Linked DNA regions of Lonchura striata. The protein of the gene in region 1 purifies or fractionates together with the protein of each later gene. This does not show direct contact. Links are inferred from orthologs where the notes say so. Each region holds a gene or a part of one and is shown on either strand. Other genes may lie near its edges.

Region 1 (7,622 bases):
CTGGGTGCTCCTCGTTGTGGGTCAAACTCCAGCAGTTTTCACCTGGAAAAATCACCCCCCTTTTGTGTTTTGTTTGGTTATAGAGACAAATTAAGGTAATTAAGACATTTAAAAATTACATTCAACTCCTCCTAGTGATGGAGGCAAAGATTAGGGCTCGATGCTGACTCTATGAACCACTGTGACATCAATTTGCTACAGAAATATGGATTTAGGAGCTGTTCAGGACAATTAGAAATTAAGACTCACCACTGTGACTTGCAGCAGTTTTTGGGATTCCCAAATACAAAGCAGTAAATGAGTGAATATGGGGGCTCCAAAAGCTTTTCCTCACTACAAAACTGAGCTTTAAAGAGCCCTTGTTTGTCCCCTGGCAAACTCCTGACACCTGAGCTGAGGGTGAAACACAGAGGAGGAATTTAGGAGCTCCAGGAGGGCTCTTAAAAACCCCTGGACAGCATCATTCCCTCATCATGTCCCGTGTCACACAGTTTTTAGCCAACAGCCACTCCAAAATTCCCTCCTTCCATTTGTTTTAAACCTTTTCATGAGTGGAAAACAAAACCCAGGAAACTCCAATACATGCCTGGCTTTATTGCTTTAATAAACCACGCAAATATTCCAATTTTGATGCTTTGCCAGCAATGTGAAGTCGGTGCTTTCCTGAATAAATAAATAACTGCAATAACCAAAATAAGGAAGTTCTTATTAAATGTACAGAACTTTATACAGGGAAGTAAAAAAAAAAAAAGACAAATCAACAAAAAGAAAGGGATGGATTTTCTGTTCTCAGTATAATTGCAGCAATGTTATCAAAACATTTAATAACCTAAGGAAAAGTTGGGTGTTGTGTTTAGAAAAGCTTTAACTGTCCTCAGCCTCCAGATTTATGTTATTCCCAAACTTGGCATAGAGCTGAACTTTGAGGTCAGACAACACGCTCTGGATCGACTCCACTCGGGATTCCAGCGCCTCAATTTCCTCCTGTAAACTCCTCTGCAAAAGAAAAAAATAAATTCAAATCAATCCTGTGCAACAAACTGAGCCAGGCTTGTCAGCAACACAGAACCAGCAGAGAGGTGCCTCTTTTCCAACTCATTCCCAGGTCTGGCTGCAGGATTCACTGCTGGAGTGCCTTTGGAGTAGTTCAAATCCTAAACCAAACCAAATTTCAGACTGAGAAAGCTGCAGAGGGTGCACAGACCCACCCCAGTGCCCAGCTCACAGCACAGCCCAGCTGCTCCAGACAAACCTTGGCCTCCTCCAGCATCTCCTGCGTCTCCTCCAGGGAGTGGCTGATGAAGACATCCCCAATCTGGTAGGGAATCAGGTGGGAATCTTCATCATCCAGCAGCATGATGTCATCACAGGCATCCTCCAGGTTCTGCAGCTGCTTCTGTTTGCCAGGACACAGAAAGAGGCTCCCTGTGTAAAGCCCTTCCATGGGCACAGCTGGGTAAGGAGGCCAGAGAGGCTGGAGTCCGGGGACAAATCCCACCCACCACCAGGACATCCACGAGATCAGAGTCAGAGCTGGAATTCAGCAATTCCATCCAGTAAAAACCCCAAGTCAGCACTCATTATCTGTCATTAACGGAATAATTAACTGTCCAAGCAAGGGTAATACAGGTTTAAATGTCACTAATATCTGATATTAGTGGCATTTATTAATTAATATGATATCTTATCATTCTCTATTTCCAAAGTATAAGAAACCTCATATCAGAACCCAAGCATAACCTGAACTCACAGTAACTCACTGCTGCTAATTTTCTCTGTTCCAGCTGAAAATCCAACGAAAAGCTCATGAGATCTAAAGCAAATATACCTTTTTCACATCTATCTCTTCTTTCAGCTCTGTGATCCTGCTGGTGTTTCTTGCAAACTTGTTAATTTTCTGTTGATCTTCGAAGGTGACATTGACATCTTCTGCAGCCTGTGAGGAGGAGAGGTAAAAATGATGATTTGTGTCCTTATATTAATTTGAGTTTCACTGCAAGGATGCTCCTACAAAGTGATGGGAAATAATCTGGCAAACACCACACTCTGCTTATGCACCTGATTGCTCAAAGTGCCTCTTCAAGAACACCAGAAATACCCACATTTAGATGGGGAACATCCAATTACAACACTGCCATCCTAAAGGCAAAACAGTTTCCTTGCCACTGGCGGCTGAACTGAACACCCTGCTCCGAGTTTTCTCTGCAGAGACACCATGAACAGGAGCAGTTAGTGACATGCAGAGCAGAATGGCTGCGAATTGACAGACAGGAGGGATATTTAGGAAAGAATTGTGAGGGAGGTCGGGCCTCGGAGCCCCTGGGACAGTGCGAGGTGTCCCTGCCATGGCAGGAGGTGCAATGATGGAATGAGATTAATTTAAAGCTCCTTTCCAACCCAAGCCACGATGACGACGATTCCATAACTAAGCACCCTCTCAGAGAACAATTTTCTCCTCACGTCCACCCTGTTTATCATCGTTGTTTAAACGAGCCGCCCGAGCCCGGGGCCCTCAGCTCCCGAGCGGCGGCCGCGCCGTTCTGGGCACGGCTCGGCCCGGCCGCGTCCGAGGCTGAGGGACACCGCGGAGCAGCCTCGGGAGGGATGGAATTCCTGCGGGAAGGGAGCAAATGCTGCTGGAAAGGAGCGAATCCGCCGGGCCCGCTCCCCACTCACCGCCTTCTTCATGGTGGCGGCCATGTTGGCGCTGCAGCAGCCATGCGGGGCTGAACCACCCGCGCACAGGGGGGGCAGCGGGCGCGGGGAGAAGAAGGAGGAAAAGGAAAAACTCCAGGAAAAGGCCGCGGCCCTGGGAAAATCGGGGATTGTCTCTATGGGCGCCGCTGGCAGCGCGCCGGGATGTCCCGAGCGGCCGCGGAGCTCGGAGGGATGCGAAGGCGCCCCCGGAGCACTTGGTACGGCCCGGTGGGAGGGGCGGCAGGCGCCGTGCGGGTCCGCCAGGGGGCGCCATGAGACGGGAACGGGTGGGACCCGCGGGATCGCGGGATAACTATTGGGATAGCGGGATAACTATTGGGATAACGGGATAACGGGATAACTATTGGGATAACGGGATAACTATTGGGATAGCAGGATAACTATTGGGATAACGGGATAACTATTGGGATAACGGGATAACTATTGGGATAACTATTGGGATAGCGGGATAACTATTGGGATAACTATTGGGATAGAGGGATAACTATTGGGATAACTATTGGGATAACGGGATAACGGGATAACTATTGGGATAACGGGATAACTATTGGGATAGCAGGATAACTATTGGGATAGCGGGATAACTATTGGGATAACGGGATAACTATTGGGATAACTATTGGGATAGCGGGATAACTATTGGGATAACGGGATAACTATTGGGATATTGGGAAAACGGGATAACAGGATAACGGGATAACTATTGGGATATTGGGATATTGGGATAACGGGATAACAGGATGGGAACCATGGGATATTGGGATATTGGGACCCACGGCATAACGGGATAACTATTGGGATATTGGGAGAATGAGAGAATGGAATGAGATCCATGGGATAACAGGATAACAGAATCCATGGGATAATGGGATCCATGGGATAATGGGATATTGGGATAATGGGATCCATGGGATATTGGGATAATGGGATATTGGGATATTTGGATCCATGGGATAGTGGGATAACAGGATAACAGGATATTGGAATCCATGGGATGGGATCCATGGGATAATGGGATATTGGGATAATGGGATCCATGGGATATTGGGATAACGGGATATTGGGATATTTGGATCCATGGGATAGTGGGATAACAGGATAACAGGATATTGGAATCCATGGGATGGGATCCATGGGATATTGGGATATTGGGATATTGGGATATTGGGATATTGGGATATTGGGATGGGATCCATGGGATATTGGGATAACGGGATACTGGGATATTGCGATGGGATCCATGGGATATTGGGATATTAGAATCCACGGGATAATGGGATATTGGGATAATGGGATAATGGGATATTGGGATGGGATGGGATGATGGGATGGGATAGTGGGATATGGATGGGATCCATGGGATGGGTGAATGGGATGGGATGGAGTAGGATGGGATACTTAATTCTATAATATTGCCTGAAATAAAATGATTTCTGGTTTGGTTGTTTTTCGGTTCCGAATGGCTGCTCATTTCACAACTCCAGTTCCAAACCAGTGGGAAAGACAGGATAATAAAGGATATTTTGGGTGCTCCTCAGGCTGATGTTACATTTTATTTTGGTGCATCATCATCATAATCACCGTGCCTTGCTTCCCACTGAGGAAAGAAGTTCATCACCAAATTTCTCCCCAGAGAAGCGCATTATTTATTATTAATTTCTATAAAAACATAATCCCAGCTCCAAACCTCTCTTTTCCTCAGAAAACAAACCCTCACCCCTCCTGCTAGGAAAGGACACAGCGGGTATTTCCCTAGCTGCAGGAACTGCCCAGCACACGGAGCCAGTGCAGCTTCCCCCAAGAGAAAAGGAGTGGATTTCACAAGAATCTGATGACTCCAAGGCTTTGAAAAGAAATCCTTTTTATTCTCCCACACGCTCGGGCAGGCTCTGCGGAGTGAGCCTTGCCAAGAGTAACTCACTGCAGACCTTTCTTATGTAAATAAAAGTGAAAACAGCTCACGAGTGCAGCCAGGCAGCGTGGAGGGAAGGAGAGGAACCCGCTGAACCCAGCGCCCTCGCTCCTCTCCCGTTGCATAAAGGACTTGCTCCTTCTTGCTCTGCTCCCTGCTGCTGTTGTTTGGCTTCTCCTCCTGGGATCCCTTCCACGCCCTGCCCTCGTCTCACGGCTCCTCTGGGGCTCTTTGCACATTTTCCCTTCCTTGCTCCAGCCTTCTGCAGGGCAGCTCGCTGGGGAATGCATTGCCATGCTTTGCTGCCTCATGGAGACCTCTGGAGTTCCCAAACTTGTCTCCCCTCTCCCTGCCTCATGGAAATCTCTGGAGTTCTCAAACTTGTCTCCTCTCTCCCTGCCTCATGGAAACCTTTGGAGTTCCCAAACTCTTCTCCTCTCTCCCTGCCTCATGGAAATCTCTGGAGTTCCCAAATTCTTCTCCTCTCTCCCTGCCCCATGGAGACCTCTGGAGTTCCCAAACTTGTCTCCCCTCTCCCTGCCTCATGGAAATCTTTGGAGTTCCCAAATTCTTCTCCTCTCTCCCTGCCCCATGGAGACCTCTGGAGTTCCCAAACTTGTCTCCCCTCTCCCTGCCTCATGGAAATCTTTGGAGTTCCCAAATTCTTCTCCTCTCTCCCTGCCTCATGGAGACCTCTGGAGTTCCCAAACTCTTCTCCCCTCTCCCTGCCTCATGGAAATCTTTGGAGTTCCCAAATTCTTCTCCCCTCTCCCTGAAGCTCCACAGACCTTTCTCAGGCCTTGGTGATCTCCAAACCCTCAGACACCAACACGGTTTGTGACTTGGAAATGGGGATGAAGTGGTTGTTTCTCCAGGATGGAGGGGACCACTTTGAGCAAAAGCCACACGAATTTGTCCCGTTTCAGTCGTGCCAGTGTGGTGAAGGAGGTGGCTGTGACATTCCCACAATATTTGGGATTTACTGTGGAGTGCAGGTCCTTGTGTCTGCCATTCTTGTACCAGCATTGCAGGGGGAATGGAGCTTGAAGTAAAAAAAAAAAATCCTTTTCTAAGGGTGTTTATCTTTTCCAAAAAAAAAGAGACATCTCCTAATTATTTATGTGGCAAATCCCCCACAGTGAGGATTTCTTTCATTATTTTGTAATCTGAGGGAAGGAAAGCAGACTTTCTCACCTTTCTGCCCTCATTCTTTCAAAATCCCTCGTGTTAAATAAAAAGCAACCTCACCATGAATTCCACTACAACTGGAAATACTCAGAATTTTTCAGTGCCATCACAAAAGTGCTGCTTTGGGTGTCAACTACATGTGGGCAAGGCATGGAAATGCCGTGGCAGAAGGCTAAATGTGTAACTGCACATAAAGAAGAATGTAAATTATTGTTCTTCAGCAGAGTTTTTTTCTGTGAGAAGTGTGAAATGAGGATTAATTACCTCATGGGTAAAAAATTCACCAAGATTTTACATATTCATGGAGTTACAGAGTGGTTTGAGTTGAAAGGGACTTCAAAAATCATCATATTTCACCCCCCACCACAGGCAGGGGCACCTTCCTCTATCCCAGGTTGCTCCAAACCCTTCCAACCTGGCCTGGGACACTTCCAGGGATTCCTAAATGCTGCTGCTTTTAAAAATAAATAAATGTGCCTTCCACAGCTCTGCATGGAAGGTGACAAAAGCTTCCAGATTTCTGTTCAAAGAGAAATATTCAGCCTGGGTCAGTAACTATTGCACAAACCCTTCCCTGCTCAGGCAGGGCAATATTGCTAAAAGAGACAAGAAATTGTAACATCCCAGTGAGTGATTCTAATTTCCAGAAAAAAAAAAGCAAAACCTGCCAAGTCCTGAGTAATTCCAAGCTGACTCTCAGAGCATCTTCTCCTGGACCTCGGTTTCTTGGTCTGCTTCACCATTTTCTCCCTGATTCTCCCCTGGAAGCTCCTCTCTAGAAGATGCAGTGCATGAAGCACTGCTTGCTCATCTAAAGCAGATAATAAATGTTTCTTCACAAAGAAAGATGGCCCGATTTTTATTTTTTAAGCAATCTTTGCTTGAATTAAGTCAATAATCTTCTTCATTTTCTTGAACCACTGATTTAGAGGCTCCTTTAGTAGTGGAGTGTGGCAATGTTTATAACCCCACACAAGTCATGGCCAGCTGGAGGATTCCTGGGCTGGTGGAATTTGAGTTTTCATCCACTGCTACTGCCATCCTGGAGAGGAGTAATCATCCAGAATGGGACATAAGAAGAGGAGTTTGATGTTTAAAACCAGTATTTGAGTGAAAATAGAATAAAGGGGTTTTTTTGCTTTCATTTCACAGCAAAAGTGGATATCTTAGAGATCTCAATTTTCAAAACCATTTCAGTTTCTCTTCCAGAGAATGGGAATTACTGTACTTTCCCATCAATATTTACAAAACTCAGAGATCCTCAGCTGGAAAGAGAATTAAAAGAATTAACACAGAATTAAAAGTATATAAACAAACACGAGCAAACCCTGCAATAACAACCAGAGTTTGCAAGTTGCAATCAATTTGCCTTCCCCACATTGTGAAATACCTTCCTGCGACACTCTCCCTGTTAATCTGCTCCTTTGGCATTTCAGCATTTTGTATTCATTTAGAAAACTCAGAGATTTCACAAAAATTTTAAAGCCAAATTAGCAAAAAAAGCTTTTCCCAACCAGGAGAAAGATCCGAGGCAAGGAGACAGGAATTGTGTGATATGTCCAGAGCAAACCTCCTGGAGTTACAGGCATTAAGAGTGAAAATCCACTCCCAACATAAAGCTGTTTCCCACTGAGGAGTTACTTTGGTGATATTTGCTTAATTTGAAGTGAACTACATGAAAATCATTCAGGTAATTTTCCATGAGCTCCAAGGTTTTGCTCTGGAAGTTCAGATGTTGTTTTTGATGAGCTTCCCAAGCACACCTTGTCCCTTAAATCCAGGGCAGGAGCTCTGAGTTTGATGG
Region 2 (6,739 bases), about 5.3 Mb from region 1:
ATAGTCATGTACTAATTATCACTAATTTTTTTAAAAACTTATGTTCTTGACCAAGTTAATCACTTGGAGGAGCACAGAAACAGCAAATTTTAAAACCTTTGCAGAAACTACTACTAATGACATCAATTGTCCTTTTACTACAAGACAAACTCAGTGACTATTCCTGCTCAGCCCTCCTCAGGCTGCTTTTTAAAACATACCCCAGTTTTATGAGTTCATCCAGTCCTGAAAGCCTCATTTCTGTCATCTCCTGCCCTCCAACAGTGGAACATGTTTTCCCAGCAAGACTAAAAGGATGCTGCCTCCTCCTGCTCCTCCCTACACATCCTTAGAGATTCCTGACGTGCCTCAGATGTACAGCTTTGCTTTGTTTGAATGCCACAGGCGTGCACAACTCCTCTTCTGTGCTTCAGGCATGTGGAGGATTCCCAATCCCTCCTACTCCTGTTCCCAGCGTGACAAAGGAGCAGCTCTGAAGCCAAGCCCCAGAAGTGTTCACATAAACCCCCAACAAGGAACATGCACATGGAGTCAGGAATGTCTCACTGCTCTGATTTTAATGATCCCACTTCCACCCCAGCTGTGGGCCTTTGCCCAGCACTGTGCTAAGACCCAGCACAGAGCAGGAAAGGGTTTGTGGTCCAAAGAAACTGCAGAGCTGCAGCTGAGGAGGCAAAGGATTCCCAGGGCCCTCACCTGGGTGGGCTCTGGACACTCCAACGTCCTACAAATCCCAAGGACTGTGGCTGCTGCAACATGAGCCCACAGTGACAGCCAAACACGCTGTGACAATGGCACAGCCACCTCAGCCCTCCAGGATGCGGTTGATGAGCTTCATTTCCTCAGCAGACATGGGATTCAGGTTAAACCCTTTCAGCTCAGGTTTACCTGAGAAAACACATTGAAAACATCAGGATTTTGTCACCAAAGAAGTGCAGCAGTTCATGTTCAACTCGAGAGGGGCTGTGGGGAGGGCAGGGACAGCCCGGGAAGCTGAAGTGGGGTCACCCCAGCACAGGGTTGGAGGGGGTTTAGGATGCTGCTGGGTGGCAGCTCCACACAGAGACAAACAACGCTGCTGGGGCAGGGAGGGAACTGCAAAACCAGTGGAAAAGAGGCTGCAGGAACACATGGAACTAAGGAATCTGCTGATACACGAGTCAGCTCCCAAGCACTGAGCAGGTTCCAGCGGGAGAGTTTACCCTGAGCTTCATAGAGCCGGTTGACCTTCACCCGCAGCTCCTTCCGGAGGTTGTTTATCTCCTCATCCAGCTCTGCCTGGTCTGGGATAAGAGGAGGGAGTGAGGAGGACTGCGGTGGGCTCTGGGATGAAGGCTCAATTTCCCATGGGACACAACACAGGCACAGGGGAGTCCCACCCTGCCTGCACCACCCCCGGGGCTGAGCAGCTTCCCCGTGTGCTTCCCAAGGCACAGCTCGGGCCAGAATCAGCCTCTCGAGAGGTTCTGGGCACCTCAGAGCCCATCCCTGGGCACAAGTCCGTTAATTGAGCCAACATCTTGTTAATTACGGTGCTGATTAAATCACTTAAAGCTACACGGAGCCCTCGGGGTGAGCTCACCCTGCTGCAGCATCTCCCGGGTCTTCGCCTTCGGCAGCTCGATGAACATGCCCCCGAAACACACCATGGCCTTCTCTGCGGGAAGGGAAGGGAAGGGAAGGGAAGGGAAGGGAAGGGAAGGGAAGGGAAGGGAAGGGAAGGGAAGGGAAGGGAAGGGAAGGGAAGGGAAGGGAAGGGAAGGGAAGGGGCTGTCAGCGGAGCCCGACCCGCGGCCACGAGGTCACGGTGGGCGCAGCCCGCCCGGCCTCACCGTCGGGCTCCGGGTCCTTGTGCAGCGCCCGCAGGGCCTCGCGGTTGCGGTTCCGCTTCACGTCCAGGTCCACGATCTGCAACGGGAGCGAGAGAGGCGGGAGCGGCCGGGACTCGGGGCTACCGGCGGCGGGCCAGAGCGGGGCGGGGGAGGCCCGCCGGAGCCGGGCCGTACCTGCTGCCGTGCCGCCAGCACGTCCTCGGCCAGCTCCTCCACCTCGGCCAGGTAGCGCAGCACGAAGGCCGGGTCCCGGGCCATGGCGGGGCCGCTCCGGGTCCGCCGCCGTCCGGCTCCGGGCCGCCGCCGCGGCCGCGCGGGCGGTTCCGCGGCGGAGGCGCCGGGCTCAGCGCGCCCTCTGGCGGCCGCCGCCGGGAGCGCCGCCGGGGAGCGGCGGGACCGACGGGCCGCGAACACGCGTGGGGCGAGAGCGGCCGGGAACGGCCGTGGGCTGGCACTGGCACGGACGTGCCCGCTGCCAGCGCGGGGTCTCCTCCGTAGTGCAGACTAGCGGTGCCGCGGTTGGCTCCGCGCTGCCTCTGTGCCCGGCAGAAGGATGGAGGGCTCGGTGTGGCCGCGTGGCACCGAGCCCCGGAGTGGGGGTCTCGGCCCCGTCGCCGGCCCCCAACCCACCCCGCTCGGCACAGCCCTGAGGGACAGGGGCTGAGAGCCCTGGCCTGCCTGGTCCCTTTGTGTGTGAATTATTTATCACTTTTCACAGCCCATCCCCTCGCCCCCAGCACCGCCGTCTGTCTCCTCTTCCTCGCTGCTTTCCCAGCACGGTGCCGCTGTTGGCAGCTGGGCCCTTGGAGCATCAGGTGACCTCTCTGTCATCCCAGAAAGCAATAAAGGGCACTCAGAGAGGGGCGATTAGCTCAGGTTTCCTTTCGTGCAGCTGGTGGCTCATCTGTAGCTCAGCGTCCAGGACCTGCCATCCCCAGGGACTGGATCCAATTGTGGTCCCGGCAGCTTGACTCACCCTCAGCCAGCCCCGGTGCCCCCCAGTCTGTGTCAGGCAAGGGCTGGTCCCGGGAATGCTCTGGCAGGCGACCATATCCATCTGCTGCTCTGAACACCCCTGCCTGCAGGAAGGCAAATATATTGCCACTCAAAATCCTTTTTATCCCTTTCTTTCTGCCCCACCCAGCCATGAGCAAGAGGAGCTGCAAAAATGGGGTGTGGGAGATGCAGAGACACAGCACTGATGGTGAGGACTGGTAGACCCTCACCGTGTGCACTCTGCAGAGGGAAAGGGGCCCCCAGGAGCACACCCAGGGCTGGCGGGTAACAGGGCACATGGGTTCTCATGTCCCATGTCCCTTCTCTGGACAGAGCCTTGAAACAGCATCTCAAGTTTCTGAATGCAGCCCTGTCCCCAGCTGTCCATCTCTGCCACCATGGCTGTGCCCCCCAGCTGCTGCTTTCCTGGTGATAGTGGGGGGACCTCTGATCTGCTTTAGATCAGTGCTTCCAAGGGAGGGAGCCCCAAGAACCTGCCTGAAGCAGCAAATAGGGGCTGGGGAGAGGAGGAGCCCCAGCACTTGGGGGCCCTGGCACATGCACTTCATGAAACTCATTTGACAAGGAGCTCTGCAAAGGTGGTGACCCCACTGCTGTGGCCCCTCTGAGCTGCCAGAGATGAGGACCACAGGGGACAGGGATGGAGAGAGAAAGGCAGCAGCTGGCTGGTGGTCACCACACTTCTGTGGGCAAATAATCCCTTAAGGGAGATTACCCAGATCGGAAGATTACTGGCCCTAATCCCATAAGATCATTTGTTTCAGTTAACTGAGATCTCTGTCTGTGGCTGCATCAAATGAAGTACAGAAGCTTCAGGGGAGCAGTGGGAGCCACTGCTGGGGCACACACAGGCACTCCAGGCTGGGAATGATCCACACTCGGGTTAGATTCCTTCCTGACATCAGCCAGAAAATGTACTGGGATTGGGGCTGGATGCCAATGCTAGGAAATGCTCATTTGTCGGTGGGAGCAGCTGGCTGGAGATCTGAAAAAGCAGGAAGGAGGGAGGGCTTTCAGAGTCTGGGCAGGAGGGATGGGGATGGGGATGGGGATGGGGATGGGGATGGGGATGGGGATGGGGATGGGGATGGGGATGGGGATGGGGATGGGGATGGGGATGGGGATGGGGATGGGATGAGATGTGACATGGGAACAGGGATGGGAGCAGGCTGGCTGTGTCCTGGCAGCAGTGGAAAGAAACAGTGACTCTGGGGTTGCCAATGACAGTGCAGTGAAGACAGGGTTTTGCCAGGAATGTTGGGCTGCATGGAAGGGCAGGGGCTGCTCTCCCTGGGAAAGTGGGTTCCAGCTCAGCACAGGCATGGGGGAAGCACAGCTGAGGGATCGCCAAGCCATGGGCATCTGGAAAACGTTCTCAGGGCAGTGAGAAGTGGCTGGTGCTGCACTCTGCGGCCTCTCCCCAGCCAGCTCTGAGCCAGCCACAAATCATCATGGATTTCTCCTCCTGGAGCCAGCACCAGGGGCAGACATTCTGCTTGGAGGCTGGACTCAGACTGGAACCAGAGGTCCATTTGGACCAGTTCCCTGGGAACTGGGCACTCAGGGGAAGCAGCCACCCACCCGCTGCCGGGAGCTGCTTTGCTTTGCTGTGTGTTTTGTGGAAAGAGCAGGTTTGGTTTCATCATGTTCCTTTTTCTTCCTTGCAGCCCTTTTCTGTATGCAGCCAGAAACCCTCCCTGCCTGCTGGCAGCTGCACAGGAAGCTTCAGGGATGTTTATAAGGCTTTTTTTCTCTCTTCTTCTTTCATGTGGCTGCTGGGGCCTGTTGTTAAGATAAATCAGACTTCAAACCACGGTCTCCATGTTCTCAGGCTGTGGATCTTTAACTGCTGCTTCAGAGGGGGTGTTTCAGGGTCAGGGGAGAAAGGTGGGTCTGTCTCTCCCTGATTTCCAAGTCCCCTCTCCCTGGCGCTGTGCCCACCGTCATGGTAACGTGGTCTGTGCTCCATCACCCAGCCAAGACAGAGAGCCCCCAGGGACCAAGCCCAAAGAGGTCTGGAGTGGCCAAATATTGACAGGGGCTCTGGCCAGTGGACCCCATCCTTGGAAGGGGCCCTGCCCTGCCTGGTTATTGATGAAAGGCTGCTTTCTTCAGGCTTTGGGATGCTGGGAGCATCCCCTCCCCCAGGCAGGCATTTGTGGAGGGGATCTGTCAGGAGCATCTCAAGGTGAGGTGTTTCATTATCGATGCTAATACATGCAGCACGGGGAGAGCCTTGCCGAGGGCCCGGCCACTGCCTTGTGCTGAGTAACATCTTCACCCCCTGGATTTCATCCCAGGAATGCAGGCTTACCCCACCCCCGGTTTGTGCTGATCCCTCTGGCCATCCTACAAGGCAGGATTTGGAAGTTAGCTGTGTTTCCCGGGATCAAACACCCTCCTCCTCTCCATGTGGCACGGCGTGCTGACCACGGGCCGGGCTCCAGCCGGGCTCCTCCGCAGGCAGAGGCACCAGGCTGAGCCTCGGGGGCTGGGGGCTGGGGCTGCCTCCAGGAGGCAGCTGCTGTATGCAGTCACCCTCCCTGGAGACCCGCCACAAAGGAGAGGAAGCCCTTTCCCTCGCAGCCCTTTCCCGCCCAGCAGTGCCAGGGATGCCGGCACAGCGCTGCTCCTCCTTTGAGCTCCTGTCCCGGGGTGCGGCCCCTCGCTCTGCCCGACACCTTGTGTCCGAGCTGCCGCGGGCAGCGAGCGGAGAGGTGGAGCGCCGGAGCGGGGCAGCGTCAGGGCTCTTGTGCACCCAGACTCCAGTGGCCTTGGTACTTCACTTTCAGGGACATTCCCAAGGCTGGGGAATAACATATGTAACTCTTTCACGAGTTTCATTTCGGGAACAACGAAAGCCTACTCCCAAACCCCATCTTTGGTCTTCTCAAAGAGGATACAACTTCTTTCAGCAGCCTGGTCTAGTGGAAGATGTCCCTGCCCTTGGTAAGGCGTTGGCACAAATTGATCTTTGAGGTCCCTTCTAACCCAAACCATCCTATGATGACTCTATGAGTCTCCCTCCAAAGCAGGGCTCAGGTGCAGCCCAGCCAGTCCCTGCTGGCCTCTCTGGCTGCATCGGGCAGGGCTTTGGAGGTCTGCGGTCGTGTCTCAGCCCAAGGGGAGAAGAAGCACCCACGCCCCCACCCACCCGGACCTCGGCCCAAGCCTGGACTCACGGGCAGGGTCTTGCCTGGACTGAGCCTCGGGGCTGGGGGGTCGCGGGGCTACCCAGGAGCTTCCCGGGAAGCTCCGGTACCCGGTGGGCTGGGAAGGGGTGGTCGGACAGCACGGCCAGCGTGGTTCCGCCGGGACGGGGTGGGGCGCACCGTGCGGGGCTCGGCGGGTCCGGGCGGTTTTACCGGCGGGGACCGGGGGGTGGGGGCCGCTCGGGGGAGGGGCCGGCCGCCCTTCCCAGCGCGGGGCGGCGCCGGCGGCACCGAGCGCTCCTCCGGGACCCCGCGGCGCCGGCGGGGGGGCGGCTGCCCCTTCCGGCGGGGAGCGGCGGGACCCGCCGGGGCTCCCGGCGCCGGGCGGGGGGAGCCGGTGTCGGCGGGCGCGGGGCGAGGCCGGCGGGGGCGGGCGCTGCCGGGGCGGGCTCCATCCCTCCGGAAGTCTCTCCCGCTCCCTCCTTTCTCCTCCTTTCCCCCGACAACATGGCCGCGAAGTCGGACGGCGGCGGCGGCGGCCCGGCCGTGCTGCTGGAGAGCCCCGAGGGCGGCGGCGGGCGGCGGGAGGCGGGCGCGGAGCCGCCGGCGCGGCGGTACCGGCTGCGGGACGGGTGCTGGGTGTTCTGCGCGCTCCTCGTCTGCTTCGCGGACGGTGCCTCGGACCTGTGGCTGGCGGCCCATTACTACGTGCGGGGGCAGCGCTGGTGGTTCGGGCTG

Evidence for each region.
Region 2: the proteins of PFDN4 (region 1) and PDRG1 purify together in Homo sapiens (co-immunoprecipitation; 3 studies listed by BioGRID and IntAct, counting the BioPlex papers as one, with this or other methods). This does not show direct contact. The link is inferred for Lonchura striata from reciprocal best matches to the Homo sapiens genes PFDN4 and PDRG1.

The regions. Positions count from the first base shown.
Region 1 is NC_134619.1:2,289,954-2,297,575, reverse strand, and holds PFDN4 (prefoldin subunit 4), read right to left. Parts: upstream 2,782-7,622; 5' UTR 2,701-2,781; coding exon 2,677-2,700; intron 1,937-2,676; coding exon 1,829-1,936; intron 1,397-1,828; coding exon 1,253-1,396; intron 997-1,252; coding exon 865-996; 3' UTR 575-864; downstream 1-574. UniProt on the Homo sapiens protein: Binds specifically to cytosolic chaperonin (c-CPN) and transfers target proteins to it. Binds to nascent polypeptide chain and promotes folding in an environment in which there are many competing pathways for nonnative proteins.
Region 2 is NC_134619.1:7,630,309-7,637,047, forward strand, and holds PDRG1 (p53 and DNA damage-regulated protein 1), read right to left. Parts: upstream 2,137-6,739; 5' UTR 2,091-2,136; coding exon 2,007-2,090; intron 1,909-2,006; coding exon 1,833-1,908; intron 1,658-1,832; coding exon 1,583-1,657; intron 1,284-1,582; coding exon 1,203-1,283; intron 889-1,202; coding exon 806-888; 3' UTR 539-805; downstream 1-538. Other genes in the region: XKR7 (XK-related protein 7), read left to right, coding at 6,509-6,739. UniProt on the Homo sapiens protein: May play a role in chaperone-mediated protein folding.